Linked DNA regions of Anolis sagrei. The protein of the gene in region 2 purifies or fractionates together with the protein of the main gene of each other region. This does not show direct contact. Links are inferred from orthologs where the notes say so. Each region holds a gene or a part of one and is shown on either strand. Other genes may lie near its edges.

What was found.
Region 1: the proteins of COP1 (region 2) and ETV5 purify together in Homo sapiens (affinity purification with mass spectrometry; 6 studies listed by BioGRID and IntAct, counting the BioPlex papers as one, with this or other methods). This does not show direct contact. The link is inferred for Anolis sagrei from reciprocal best matches to the Homo sapiens genes COP1 and ETV5.

Annotation. Positions count from the first base shown.
Region 1 is NC_090023.1:222,984,399-222,991,511, forward strand, and holds the start of ETV5 (ETS translocation variant 5), read right to left. Parts: upstream 3,003-7,113; 5' UTR 2,898-3,002; intron 1-2,897. UniProt on the Homo sapiens protein: Binds to DNA sequences containing the consensus nucleotide core sequence 5'-GGAA.-3'.
Region 2 is NC_090024.1:128,579,066-128,586,326, reverse strand, and holds the start of COP1 (E3 ubiquitin-protein ligase COP1), read right to left. Parts: upstream 3,002-7,261; 5' UTR 2,904-3,001; coding exon 2,539-2,903; intron 1-2,538. UniProt on the Homo sapiens protein: E3 ubiquitin-protein ligase that mediates ubiquitination and subsequent proteasomal degradation of target proteins.

The DNA.
Region 1 (7,113 bases), on a different chromosome or scaffold from region 2:
AGGCATTTGGGGGAGAGGAGGCACTGATGATGATGATAATAATAATTTGAGGAGAACAAGCCATTTGGGGGAAAGGAGGCACTGATGATGATGATGATAATAATAATAATAACATTTTGAGGAGGACAAGCCATTTGGGGGAAAGGAGGAACTGATAATAATCGTAGTAATAATAATAATAATTTGAGGAAAACATGCCATTTGGGGGAAAGGAGGAACTGATAATAATAGTAGTAATAATAATAATAATTTGAGGAAAACATGCCATTTGGGGGAAAGGAGGAACTGATAATAATAGTAGTAATAATAATAATAATTTGAGGAAAACAAGCCATTTGGGGGAAAGGAGGAACTGATAATAATAATAATAATAATAATAATAATATTTTGAGGAGGACAAGCCATTTGGGGGAAAGGAGGAACTGATAATAATAGTAATAATAGTAATAATAATAATAATTTGAGGAAAACAAGCCATTTGGGGGAAGGAGGCACTGATAATTATTATTATTATTATTATTATTATTATTTGAGGAAAACAAGCCATTTGGGGGAGAGGAGGCACTGATTATAAATCTGACTATCTCACCAGACTAATTGTTGCAAATGACAATTAAAAAATCTCCTGAAAATTGGGATATAATAATAATAATTTGAGGAAAATGAGTCATTTCATAACCTTTGGGAGAGAGGAGGTACTGAATCTGACTGTCTCACGAGACTAACTGTTGCCAGCAATGCTTTAAAATCTCCTTTAAGGGAGGGAAGTAGGATATAAATATGATAATAATAATACTTTGGGGAAAATGTGTGGATTCATAAACTTTGGGAAAATTTCACTGTCCCACTGGATCAACTGTTGCAAGCTCCTTTAAGATAGGATATAATAATAATAAGATAAAATAATATATAATATAACATAATATATAAATATTAAATATTGATATTTAATATTCTATAAAAACATATAATAAATCTTTCTATTTTTTACTTTCACTACTTTATTTTCCTTTTTAGACTTTTCACATTACACTTATTACCTCACTTTTTTCTCTCTTTTCCTCCTCTTTTCTGTTGTTTTGTTGTTCTCTCCTTTTATTTTACATTATATATATATTTCCTATTCTTATACTTATGTATGCTAATAAAGATTATTTTTTTCAAAGTCTCCTTTAAGAAAAGAAATAATAATATAAAATAATAATTTAATAATATATAATATAATAAAATTACAATTAAATGAAAATATATAATATAATATATTCTATTCTATTATAAATATATTTATAAAATATTATATTATAATATAAAATAATAATATGATATATAATATAATATATAATATAATAATATTTATTAAATGAAAATATATAATATATTCTATTACATTATAAATATATTTATAAAATAATATTATAATATAAAATAATATGATATATAATATAATATAATATCTATAATATATTAATATAAAAATGATATGGAATAAGAGTGATGATAATAAGACGAAGAAGAGGTCCTTGCCAACTGCTCAAGACCTATTGTATTATAATATAAATATATTTATAAAATAATATTATAATATAAAATAATATGATATATAATATAATATAATATCTATAATATATTAATATAAAAATGATATGGAATAAGAGTGATGATAATAAGACGAAGAAGAGGTCCTTGCCAACTGCTCAAGACCTATTGTATTATAATATAAATATATTTATAAAATAATATTATAATATAAAATAATATGATATATAATATAATATAATATCTATAATATATTAATATAAAAATGATATGGAATAAGAGTGATGATAATAAGACGAAGAAGAGGTCCTTGCCAACTGCTCAAGACCTATTGTATTATAATATATTAATATAAAAATAATATGAAATAAGAGTGATGATAATAAGACGAAGAAGAGGTCCCTGCCAACTGCTCAAGACCTATTGTATTATAATATAAATATATTTATAAAATATTATATTATAAAATAATAATATGATATATAATATAATAATATTTATTAAATGAAAATATATAATATATTCTATTACATTATAATATAAATATGTTTATAAAATATTATAATATAAAATAATATGATATATAATATAATATTTATTAAATAAAATATATAATATAATAATATATATTATAATATTATAATATAATATATTAATATAAAAATAATATGAAATAAGAGTAATGATAATAAGACGATGAAGAGGTCCCTGCCAACTGCTCAAGACCTTTTCGAGACTCTTTTAATAACCTCATCCATCTCCAAGATTTTAAAGTCACGACGGCAAGACACTATTTTTTTTTACAAAGCAAGGCTGCATTCCTGGGACTCAACGCGAGGAAAAAAGCCCCAAAGCCCTATTTCTTCTTCTCCCCCATTCGCGAATCTGGCCTAACTTTTATGAATGGCCGAGGTGGAGGAGCAGGTAGAGTGTAACCCGATCCCGGCGCAAGGTCCCCCTTCACCATGTATGCCTAGAGAGAGCTCTCCTTCTCCCCCCCTCCAGCGGCGCACTTTCCAGCTCGCTCCATTCACGAAACGCCACCCCTCTCCAGAACGCCGCCCCCGCCCTCCAGGCTCCATTCACAGAAAAAAAAGAGCCAGCTCCATTCATAAAAAGCGCCCACATCCAGCCAAGGGGAAAAAACAACCCACAGCGTCGCTTCCACCGCGCAGAGCCAGTGCCTTGGGCTCCTCCACCAAATCCCTCCGGGCTCCAGCCCCCCAAGACTTCGCCTCCTTCCAGGCCCCGCTCTAGCGAAGCTTGCACCCCAATATTAGCACCTGCACCCCCGCCTTCCCCTCGAAAGCCCTTCCCTCCCCTCCTCCGTGCGAATAGGGCTCTCTTTGGAGGGCTCTCACCTGCCCCATAGAGAACCGCCTCGCTGCCGCTCGAAGCCCCGTGTCTCCGCCGGGTTTGCAGCCGGAGCCCCCGAGCGGCCTCCAGAGCCCGCCTTCGCGCCCGCCCGCCATTGGCCCGCAGCCCTGCCAGCGGTTGTCAATCCCAGCTTGTTTACCCTACCGGGCCGCCAATGAAGCTCGGAGGTGAGGCCGCCTCCCAGTTTATGAATGGTCGCCGTTGCCCAGAGCGGCGTTCTAATCCCGCCTCCTGGCAACGATGGAGTGTGGAAGGGGGTTTCACCCTCCCCTCGGGGGAGAGGCAGCCAATCAAGGCGGCTCTGATTTACATACTGTTTCGAGGAGCGTTTTCATTCATAAAAAAAAGAGAGAGGAGATATATATCGCGTTCCGAGGGTGAGGCAGAAGCGAGGAGAGATTTAAAGGCACAGCGCACCCTTTTTTTGTTGCAAGCTATAAGGAAGGGGCTATAAAGCCGTGATTTACATACTGCTTCGAGGAGCGTTTTCATTCATAAAAGAAAGAGAGCTCTATAGCGTCCTGGGGATGAGGCAGAAGCAAAGAGAGACTTAAAGGGACCACGCACAATTTCTCTTTGCCAACTAGGCTACGAATTGTTCTGATCTGGCTATGACCAGAGTTTGCCCTGCCTTGAATTATTGTGTGTGTGTGTGTGTTTGGGGCACTTTCCCTGTTGCAATATCATATTCGGAAATTTGGCAGAGATTGCCACAAAAGGCCACTCACTCCCTATTTTGTTTATCTTAACTATGGCTCTCTCTCTCTCTCTCTATATATATATACTAGCCGTCCCCTGCCACGCGTTGTTGTGGCCCAGTCTGTGCATATGTGTTTTGTGTGTGTATATATGTGCGTATATGTTTGTGTTTTTGTGTATATATGTGTTTTGTGTATATATGTGGTTTTGCACATGTGTTGTAATGTATTTTTGGGGTTTTTTTTGGCTTTTTAAGTCTCTTCTGCTCTGTTTTTCAGTGTTTTTATGGCCTGATACGTGTGTTGTGTCCAAATTTGGTGTCAATTAGTCCAGTGGTTTTTGAGTTATGTTAATCTCACAAACAAACATCACACACACACACAGATATATAAATATATATGCGTGTGTGTATATAGTGTGTGTGTATATATATACTAGCTGTCCCCTGCCACGCGTTGCTGTGTTAGTCATGGGGGTTCTGTGTGGGAGGTTTGGCCCAATTCTATCATTGGTGGGGTTCAGAATGCTCTGTGATTGTAGGTGAACTATAAATCCCAGCAACTACAACTCCCAAATGTCAAGATTCTATTTTCCCCAAACTCTACCAGTGTTCACATTTGGGCATATTGAGTATTCGTGTAGAGTTTGGTCCAGATCCATCATTGTTTGAGTCCACAGTGATCTCTGGATGTAGATGAACTACAACTCCAAAAGCAAAGGACACTGCCCACAAAACCCTTCCAGGACTTTCTGTTGGTCATGGGAGAACTGTGTGCCAAGTTCGGTTCAGTTCCATCGTTGATGGAGTTCAGAATGCTCTTTGATTGTAGGTGAACTATAAATCTCAGCAACTACAATTCCCAAATGACAAAATCAATTTTTTTTTTTAGTGAAGGACATACATTGGGTTGTTAGGTGTCTTGTGCCCAAATTTGGTGTCAATTCATCCAGCGGTTTTTGAGTTCTGTTAATCCCACAAACGAACATTACATTTTTATTTATATAGATATCGTGTGTGTGCGTGTGTGTGTGTGTCTATTAAGGTGGTACCAAAGGTGGTACCAAACTGCATTAATTCTACACTATTTGCCCCATAGTTTGCCACTCTTAAATAGATGCCCTGCTCCTTCTATTAACTTGTTTCAGTCTCCTTGAAGTCTGTAGGATTAAACTTGCATCTGGAAGACAGCAATGCTTGTGCAACACTGGGGAATTTACAGTATTTCTGAACTTAGGATGCATTAGATCAGGAGGGTTTCCTCCAGTTTCTTTTCAGCAGGTTAGAATGGCAATTACAATACAAAAATAAAAGAAAGCCACTCCCCTACACTCTTTGCATTGATTTATTCGGGTATTAAAACAATTGAAACCTTCCTTTCATCTTTATGGATGAGTACAAATATATTTAAAACGCTGGTATAACCTCCTCAGGAGAAGAATCAACATGGGGAATATTTCAAGAGTGTTTCATTTTTAGGCGGGCATCTACGCCAGGCTTAGGCAAACTTCGGCCCTCCTTGTGTTTTGGACTTCAACGCCCACAATTCCTAACAGCCTCAGGCCCTTTGCTTTCTCCCCTCAGCCACTTAAGCTGAGTTGAAATTTTCCCAAGCCTGATCTACACTGTAGAAATAATGAAGTTTGACACCAACCTACATAACTTAGGAAAATAATACCTGGTGTCAACTCCCACTTGAACTGCAAGCTTTCCCCACTCTCCTGTGGTGCAGCGGGTCAAACCGCTAAGCTTGCTGATCAGAAGGTTGGTGGTTTGAATCCAGGGGAGTGGGTGAACTCCCACTGTTAGGCGCAGCTTCTGCCAACCTAGCAGTTTGAAAACATGCAATTGTGAGTAGATCAATAGGTACTGCTTCTGCGGGAAGGTAATGGCGCTCCATGCAAGTCATGCTGGCCACATGACTTTAGAGGCGTCTATGGACAACACAGGCTCTTCGGCTTAGAAATGGAGATGAGCACCATTCACCAGAGTCAGACATAATTAGACTTAATGTCAGGGGAAACCTTTACCTTGAGAGTCACTCTCTTTGCTCAGGATATGTTTTTCCAAGGTGTAGCTTGTATACAACAGGGAAAGAAATTGTGCAGCAAGAAACAGTTTTTTTTAATGCATGGGCCATAGACTTTAGTGAAGAACATTTTTTTTATTAAACAGTTGAGAAAATGAGGAACACAAAATCCAAAAGACACCATTACCATATTATTAAATATAGACATTATTCCAAGGTGTAGCTGGGCATATTGTGTGCAATAGGAAAATAAAATGTGTCGTAAGTAGTAGTTATTTTACTTGTAAATGAAATCTTAGTCTTGGTCAGGACAAAGTGGTTTAAGGTTATCAGGGGTTAATATTGGAACCAACTACCTGATTGTTCCATTTGTGAGAGCTGTTCAGTAGTGGAACTCTCTGCCCCGGAGTGTGGTGGAGGCTCCTTCTTTGGAAGCTTTTAAACAGAGGTTGGATGGCCACCTGTTGGGAATACTTTGAATGTGATTTTCCTGCTTCTTGGCAGGGGGTTGGACTAGATGGCCCATACGGTCTCTTCCAACTTTATGTTTCTATGATTCCATGGCTGGAAGATGCTTTTGTTTATATCAACCATAGCATCGCCTTTTCTAGGCCATAGACCTGATCCTCCATAGCAATTTAATATTAATAGGCCTTTTTAGAAGAGATCCTGAGTACAGTACTCACTCCTGCTTTATGAATTCAAGGCATATCAGGAAACTGCAGAAGTATAACTTCTTTTATAATTTCTTCTATAGTTGAAATTAAAATACATTACCATGTTTATGCAAGCCTGAGGTCAGCCCACACTTACTTCACTGCCACGCTCAGGGCATATCACTTTCTGAAAGTACTGCCTACCTACAACTATTTTACATTTACTGATTACTATCTGAAGACCAAATGGGTGTGATGCACCTGAGGATTGTGCAAATTTGGGTTGAACTGCAGTTATAGGATAGTGATTGCTCGGTAGTGACTTAGCTCACATGTGGCACTTGGTGAAGCAACTGCATCATCTCTTCTAGATGAACACAGCACCTCACAGATGTGTCCTATCTCACCACACCTGTCAGATACTATACCTGTCTGATGCAGTCAAGCTGACCTTCATGATGCATGTGTCGGTTTGGCAATCTAGGCTTCACCTGGGGCAAACTCTTTTTTCATTACAGCCTTAGTTCAGTTCATGAATCTGTTTGTATGGATTATTGCTTGAAGGGATGGGCAACAGTAATTTTCCTATTGTTATTCAGCTCCCATCAGAAGTACTGAACATGGCCAATGGCCAAGGATGATAGGTTTTGAAATACAAGAGCATTAAGAAGGTCACAATTGCTTAACTCTACAATGTGATCTTCCTGAAAATAGCCCCCTTTGGTCTTTTCAGTCCATATGTGAAGGTTTGGATGGAGTTGTGTCTTTCATGTTGATGTTGTAGTTGTGTGCCTTCAAGGCATTTCCAGTTCATAGCC
Region 2 (7,261 bases):
AGGTGAACTACAACTCCAAAACTCAAGGTCAATGCCCACCAAACCCTTCCAGTATTTTTGTTAGTCATGGGAGTTCTGTGTGCAAAGTTTGGCTCAATTCCATTGTTGATAGAGTTCAGAATGCTCTTTGATTGTAGGCGAACTATAAATCCCAGCAACTACAACTCCCAAATGACAAAATCAATGTTTTTGAGTGATGGTCACTCGTTGGCCTGATGGGCATATTGTGTCCAAATTTGGTGTCAATTCGCCCAGTTGTCTTTGAGTTATGTCAATCCCACAAAGGAACATTACATTTTTATTTTATAGATTACCATCATATGTGTATGTTGTTTTGCATGTGCGTTGTAGCATTATTTTATTTTATATTTTTGCTTTTTAAGTCTCTTCTGCTGTATATTTCAGTGTTTTTAGGAGTGATGGTCACTTGTTGGCCTGAAAGGTGTGTTGTGTCTAAAATTGGTATCAATTTGTCCAGTGGTTTTTGAGTTATGTTAACCCCACAAACAAACATTACATTTATCTATCTATCTATCTATCTATCTATATATGCTCTGTGCATGAGTACCTTAAAAACAAAAGAACTAATGGGCAAAATCACACCAAATTTGGCAACAAAATGTCTCTCTACACAAGGAGTGACCATCAATCAAAACATTATGGTTTTGTCATTTGGGAGTTGTAGTTGCTGGGATTTATAGTTGACCTACAATCAAAGAGCATTCTGAACTCCACCAACGATGGACTTGAACCAAACTTGGCACACAGAACTCCCATGACCAACAGAAAATACTGGAAAGGTTTGGAGGGCATTGACCTTGAGTTTGGGAGTTATAGTTCACATATATCCAGAGAGCACTGTGGACTCAAACAATGATGGATCTGGACCAAATTTGGCATGAATATTCAATATGCCCAAATATAAACACAGATGGCGTTTGGGGGAAATAGACCTTGACATTTGGAAGTTGTAGTTACTGGGATTTATAGTTCACCTACAATCAAGGAGCATTCCAAACCTCACCAACGATGGAATTGGGACAAACATCCCACACAAAACCCCCATGACCAAAAGGAAATACTGTGTTTCCTGGTGGTCTTTGGTGACCCTTCTGACACCCCCCTGGTGACCCCCCCCCCTTGGTGTATTGACTTCCCAGGTTGAGAAATGCTGCCTTAAGGCCATCCAGTCCAGCTCCCTTCACCAGGGCAACAAAACAAAGCCCTCCTGACAAAGCGCCATCCAGCCATTCACACACACACATATATATATGTGTGTATATGACAGATGTATATCAAAGATTTGAAAGGGACCCCTAAAGCAAACCAGACAATCTCCACTGGCAAAGAAACAACAAGGAAGCTCCAACTGGTCCAACGGGCGGCAGCCATGATACTAACAGGAGCGGGACGCAGGGAGCATACAACCCCCCCTACTGTACCAGCTCCACTGGCTGCCGATCTGCTACCGGGCTCAATACAAATTGCTGGCATTGGCCTATAAAGCCCTAAACGGTTCCGGCCCAAGATACCTAACTGACCGCCTCTCGGCCTATGAGCCCACGAGGACTTTGAGATCTTCCGGGGAGGCTCTGCTCTCGATCCCGCCTGCTTAACAGGCACGGCTGGCGGGGACGAGAGATAGGGCCTTCTCGGTGGTGGCGCCTCGGCTGTGGAACGCTCTTCCCGTGGACATCAGGCTAGCTCCCTCCCTGTTGATATTCCGCAGGAAATTAAAGACCTGGCTATTTAAGAAGGCATTTGAACAAGAAGTGATTGGTAATTTGACCATAGGAATGGAACAACGGAAATGATACCAGATTGTGGGTTTGACGATGAGACGACACGGAATGGCTTTTGTAGTAATGTTGATGTTTTTGATGATGATGTTTTTGATGATGATGTTTTTGTTTAATGCTGGATGTGAATTTTATATTATGTCTTGAATTGTTGAATTTTGTTCTTTCTATGTTGTACACCGCTGTGAGTCGCCCCCAGGCTGAGAACAGCGATATATAAGCAAAGTAAATAAATAAAGTAAATAAAACAAAGCCCTCCTGACAAAGGGCCATCCAGCCATTCACACACACACACACATATGACAGATGCAGTACCAAAGATTTCAAAGGGAACCCCGAAAAAAGGACAATGATATGTTACATGTTCCAGAGTAGGCAAACCAGACAATCTCCACATCAACACTGGCAAAGAAACAGCAAGAAATACTGTTTACTCAGAAACATTAAGAAATCACATATATTAGAAACCAACACATTCTCATTACTTCATTTCCAGATCACCAGACTGGGCCACAGCAACGCGTGGCAGGGGACAGCTAGTATTTATATATATAGATAGATTAAACCTTGAGGAATTCTGGGAGCTAAAGGACCAAAGATGGGGCGCATAGGAGTGACCTGCAAGATGGGTGTATGTAAGGCCAAGACTCGCTGTAGCAACTGAAGAGGAGGCAGGTAAGCAATGGCTAGCCTTCTCCCCCTCCCCCGCTCCTTCCCCATCTGGGCGCCCCTCGCTCACCACACGAAGTCGTTGCTTTTGTCTTCGTAGGAGTTCAGGAGGCCATTGCAGAGCGGCGTCAGCAGTGGCCTCTTCCTGCTGCTGCTGTTGGCGCTGCCTGGGCCGCTGCTCCCAGCCCGGCCTCCCCCCGCCAGGCGAGCCAGGCCTGCACTGCTGGAGGAAGAGCCCGAGGCAGCGGCCGCCACCAAGACAGGCCGCGCAGGGGCCCCCAGCCCCACTGAGGCGGAAGAGGACGAGGCGCCCGAAGCCGCCGAAGCAGTGCCCGAAGAGGCCGAGGTGGTGACCGAAGGGGAGGACGTGGAGGAGGACCCCGGGGGAGGAGGCCCGGCCGCGGAGTGCTGAGGCGGCTGCCGGCTCCCCGACATCCCGGCTCCGGCTCAGCGCATCTCCCCCGACGCTCCGAGAGGGGAGCGGGCCGCACCAAGGCTTCCTCTCAGAGGAGGAGAAGGAAGGAGGAGGAGGACGGGCGCCTGCTTGGGAGCGCGTGCGCAGCACCTGATTGGCCCCTACGCCTGCCAGGGAGCGCGTGCGTGGCACCTGATTGGCCCCTGCGCCCGCCCTCAAACCAAAGGGGCGGGGCGGAGGCTCCCAACACCCTCCCTTCTCGTCGGAACTTGATTCAGGGGCCGGCACTGCGCGTGCGCAACCTCCATAGCGTCTTCAACGCGTCGAAGTTGTTTTTGTTTTTTTGGGTCGTCACGTCGTAACGGAGCAGGCAAAGGTCAACGCGCCTGCGCAAGAGGGCTGGACAGCGGTAGCCTAGCAACCACAGCGGCCTATCACATTTGGTCAGCGCGTGGAGGAAGGCTTGTGTTTTAGGGCTGAAAATGGTTCAAAAGTCATTCCAAAATTAGGGGACGCTGGCATTTCATAGAATCACAGAATTGGAAGAGACCTCGTGAGCTATCCAGTCCAACCCCCTGCCAAGAAGGAGGAAAATCGCATTTATTTATTTATTTATTTGCTTTATTTCTATACCGCATTTTTCAGCCTAAATTAGGCGACTCAATGCGGTTTACACAATGCAGGTTATCACAACAATAAACAGTTAAAACACATCATACACAGCAACAAAATCAACAATTATTATCAATTCATAACGCCTCGATAACAGAGCAAAATCCATTCTCATAATCCTTGTGCCATTCCTATGTTCAATTTTACCGTCTTCCTGTGTTCAGTTGCACCGTTTAGCCAAACGCTTGCTCGTAGAGCCAAGTCTTAACCTTCTTCCGAAACGCCAGCAGCGAAGGGGCCTGTCTGATGTCTACAGGTAGGGCATTCCATAGCCGAAGGGCCACCACCGAGAAGGCCCTGTCCTTCGTCCCCGCCAGCCGTGCCTGATCTTAACGTCCACGTCGGTTCATAGGTGGAGATGCGTTCGGAGAGGTAAGTGGGGCCGGAACCGTTTAGGGCTTTGTAGGCTAACGCCAGCACCTGAATTGTGCCCGGTAGCGGATTGGCAGCCAGTGGAGCTGGCTCAACAGAGGAGTGGTATGCTCCCTGAGTGCCGCTCCTGTTAACAACCTGGCTGCCGAGCGCTGGACCATCTGAAGCTTCCGGGAAGTCTTCAAGGGCAGCCCCACATAGAGCGCGTTGCAGTAATCTATACAGGATGTAACCAGAGCGTGGACTACCGTGGCCAAGTCAGACTTCCCAAGGTACGGGCTCAGCTGGCGCACAAGTTTTAATTGTGCAAATGCTCCCCTGGTCACCGCCGAGACCTGGGGTTCCAGACTCAGTGATGAATCCAGGATCACACCCAAGCTGTGAACCTGTGTCTTCAGGGGGAGTGTGACCCCGTCCAACACAGGCTGTAACCCTATACCCTGTTCGGCCTTGCGACTGACCAGGAGTGCCTCTGTCTTCTCTGGATTCAATTTCAATTTGTTAGCCCTCATCCAGTCCGACACAGCGGCCAAGCACCGGTTCAGGACCTGAACAGCCTCCTTAGTAGTAGGTGGAAAGGAGTGACAGAGTTGGACATCATCTGCGTACAGATAACACCGCACCCCGAAACTCCGGATGATCTCTCCCAACGGCTTCATGTAGATGTTAAACAACATGGGGGACAGTATTGAACCCTGCGGGGCCCCACAAGACAATGGTTGTGAGGACGAGCAGTTGTCCCCCATCAACACCTTCTGGGTACGATCCTCTAGGAAGGACCTGAGCCACTGCAAAACAGTGCCACCAAGGCCCATTCCCGCGAGGCGTCCCAGAAGGATACCGTGGTCGACGGTATCGAAGGCCGCTGAGAGATCCAACAGGACCAACAGGGACACATTCCCCCTGTCTAGCTCCCGGCGGAGATCATCCACTAAGGCGACCAAGGCTGTCTTGGTACCATGCCCCGGCCTAAAGCCAGACTGTGCCGGATCCAGATAATCCGTGTCTACCAAGAATACCTGAAGTTGTGAGGCCACCACACGTTCCAGGACTTTGCCCAAAAAGGGGAGATTGGAAACAGGATGATAGTTGACAAATTGAGTGGGGTCCAGTGATGGTTTTTTCAACAGCGGTTTTATTACAGTTTGTTTTAAGCTGGCTGGAATTTTGCCTTCCCGAAGGGAGGCATTAACCACCACTTCCACCCACTCGGCCAATCCCCCTCTGGCTTCCTTCACGAGCCAGGATGGGCAGGGGTCTAGGATGCCTGTGTTTGCTCTCATTCCTCCAAGTATCTTGTCCACATCCTCGGGTTTCACCAATTGAAATGAATCCATCAAAATCGGACAAGCAGGTGCTCGTGTTACATCCTCAGAGACTGCCGTTAACATGGTATCCAGGCCAGAACGGATCAAAGCGACTTTGTCCGCAAAGAACTGAGCAAATGCTTCACAGCGGGCCGTTGAGTTGTCAGGGTTCCCCTCCGGAGTGGTGTGGTTTAATAGACCTCTGACAACTCAAAACAGCTCCGCCGGACGGTTCTTTGCGGACGCAATATTGGCCGCAAAGAAAGATTTCTTTGCCGCCTTTATTGCCACGGCATATGCCCTTAGAAGCACCCCCGACAGATGGCCATCCAGCCTCTCTTTTAAAGCTTCCAAAGCTTCCATTTTATATTGCTTACTGTGTTGTTGTTGTTCATTCGTTCAGTTGTTATTTATTTATTTATCGTGTCATCAGCAGCCATACCATTGTATTACATTTGTAACAGAACCAAACAAACAAACATTAAAAAAGGAAAAAAATTGTAAACTTGGTAGTTGATTAAATGTCCTTTGACCAGTATCTGGCCACTTGGAGTGCCTCTGGTGTTGCCTTTCCTGAAGGTCCTCCATTGTGCATGTGGCAGGGCTCAGGGTGCATTGCAGCAGGTGGTCAGTGGTTTGCTTTTCTCTGCACTCGCATGTCATGGATTCCACTTTGTAGCCCCATTTCTTGAGGTTGGCTCTGCATCTCGTGGTGCCAGAGCGCAGTCTGTTCAGCGCTTTCCAAGTAGCCCAGTCTTTGGTGTGCCCAGGAGGGAGTCTCTCATCTGGTATCACCCACGGATTGAGGTGCTGGGTTTGAGCCTGCCACTTTTGAACTCTCGCTTGCTGAGGTGTTCCAGCGAGTGTCTCTGTATATCTTAGAAAACTATTTCTTGATTTAAGTCGTTGACGTGCTGGCTGATACCCAAACGGGATGAGTTGGAGATGTTACCTGCTGCAATGCCTTGGTCCTTTCACTATTGGCTGCTACTTCCCGGCGGATGTCAAGTGGTGCAACAGTGGCTAAGGAGTGTAATTTCTCCAGTGATGTAGAGCGCAGACGCCCCATGATAATGCGGCATGACTCATTAAGAGCCACATCCACTGTTTTAGTGTGGTGAGATGTGTTCCACACTGGGCATGCGTACTCAGCAGCAGAGTAGCACAGCACAAGGGCGGATGTCTTCACTGTGTCTGGTTGTGATCCCCAGGTTGTGCCAGTCAGCTTTCTATGATATTGTTTCTAGCACCCACTTTTTGCTTGATGTTCAGGCAGTGCTTCTTGTAGGTCAGAGCACGATCCAAAGTGACTTCCAGGTATTTGGGTGTGCTGCAATGCTCCAGTGGGATTCCTTCCCAGGTGATCCTCAGAGCTCGGGATAATTGTCTCTTCTTAAGGTGAAAGGCACATGTCTGTGTTTTAGATAGATTAGGGATCAGTTGATTTTTCCTGTAATAGGCAGTAAGAGCACCTAGAGCTTCAGAGAGCTTCTGTTCAACCATCTCAAAGCTCCCTGTTTGAGTGGTAATGGCACAATCATCAGCATAGATGAAACTCTCTGTCACTTCTGACAGTGGCTGGTCATTTGTGTAAATGTTGAACATGGATGGGGCCAGCATGCTCCCCTAAGGTAGGCCGTTCTTCTGTTTCCGCCATCTGCTTCTCTGGCTCTGGAACTCAACAAAAAAAGCTCCTGTTTTGTAGCAGGTTTCCTATGAGGCGCGTGAGGTGGTAGTCCTTTATGATATTATACATTTTTCTCAGGAGGAGGCGGTGGTTCACAGTATCATAGGCTGCTGACAGATTTATGAAGACAGCTCCTGTGATCTGCTGCCTTTCAAAGCCATCTTCTCTGTGCTGAGTCAGGTTCAACACTTGCAATGTGAAGCTTTTGCCTTTCCTGAAGCCAGCTTGCTGTGGAATCAGACAGACGTTTAACGACTTAAATCTAGAAATAGTTTTCTAAGATCTACAGAGACACTCGCTGGAACACCTCAGCAAGCGAGAGTCCAAAAGTGGCAGGCTC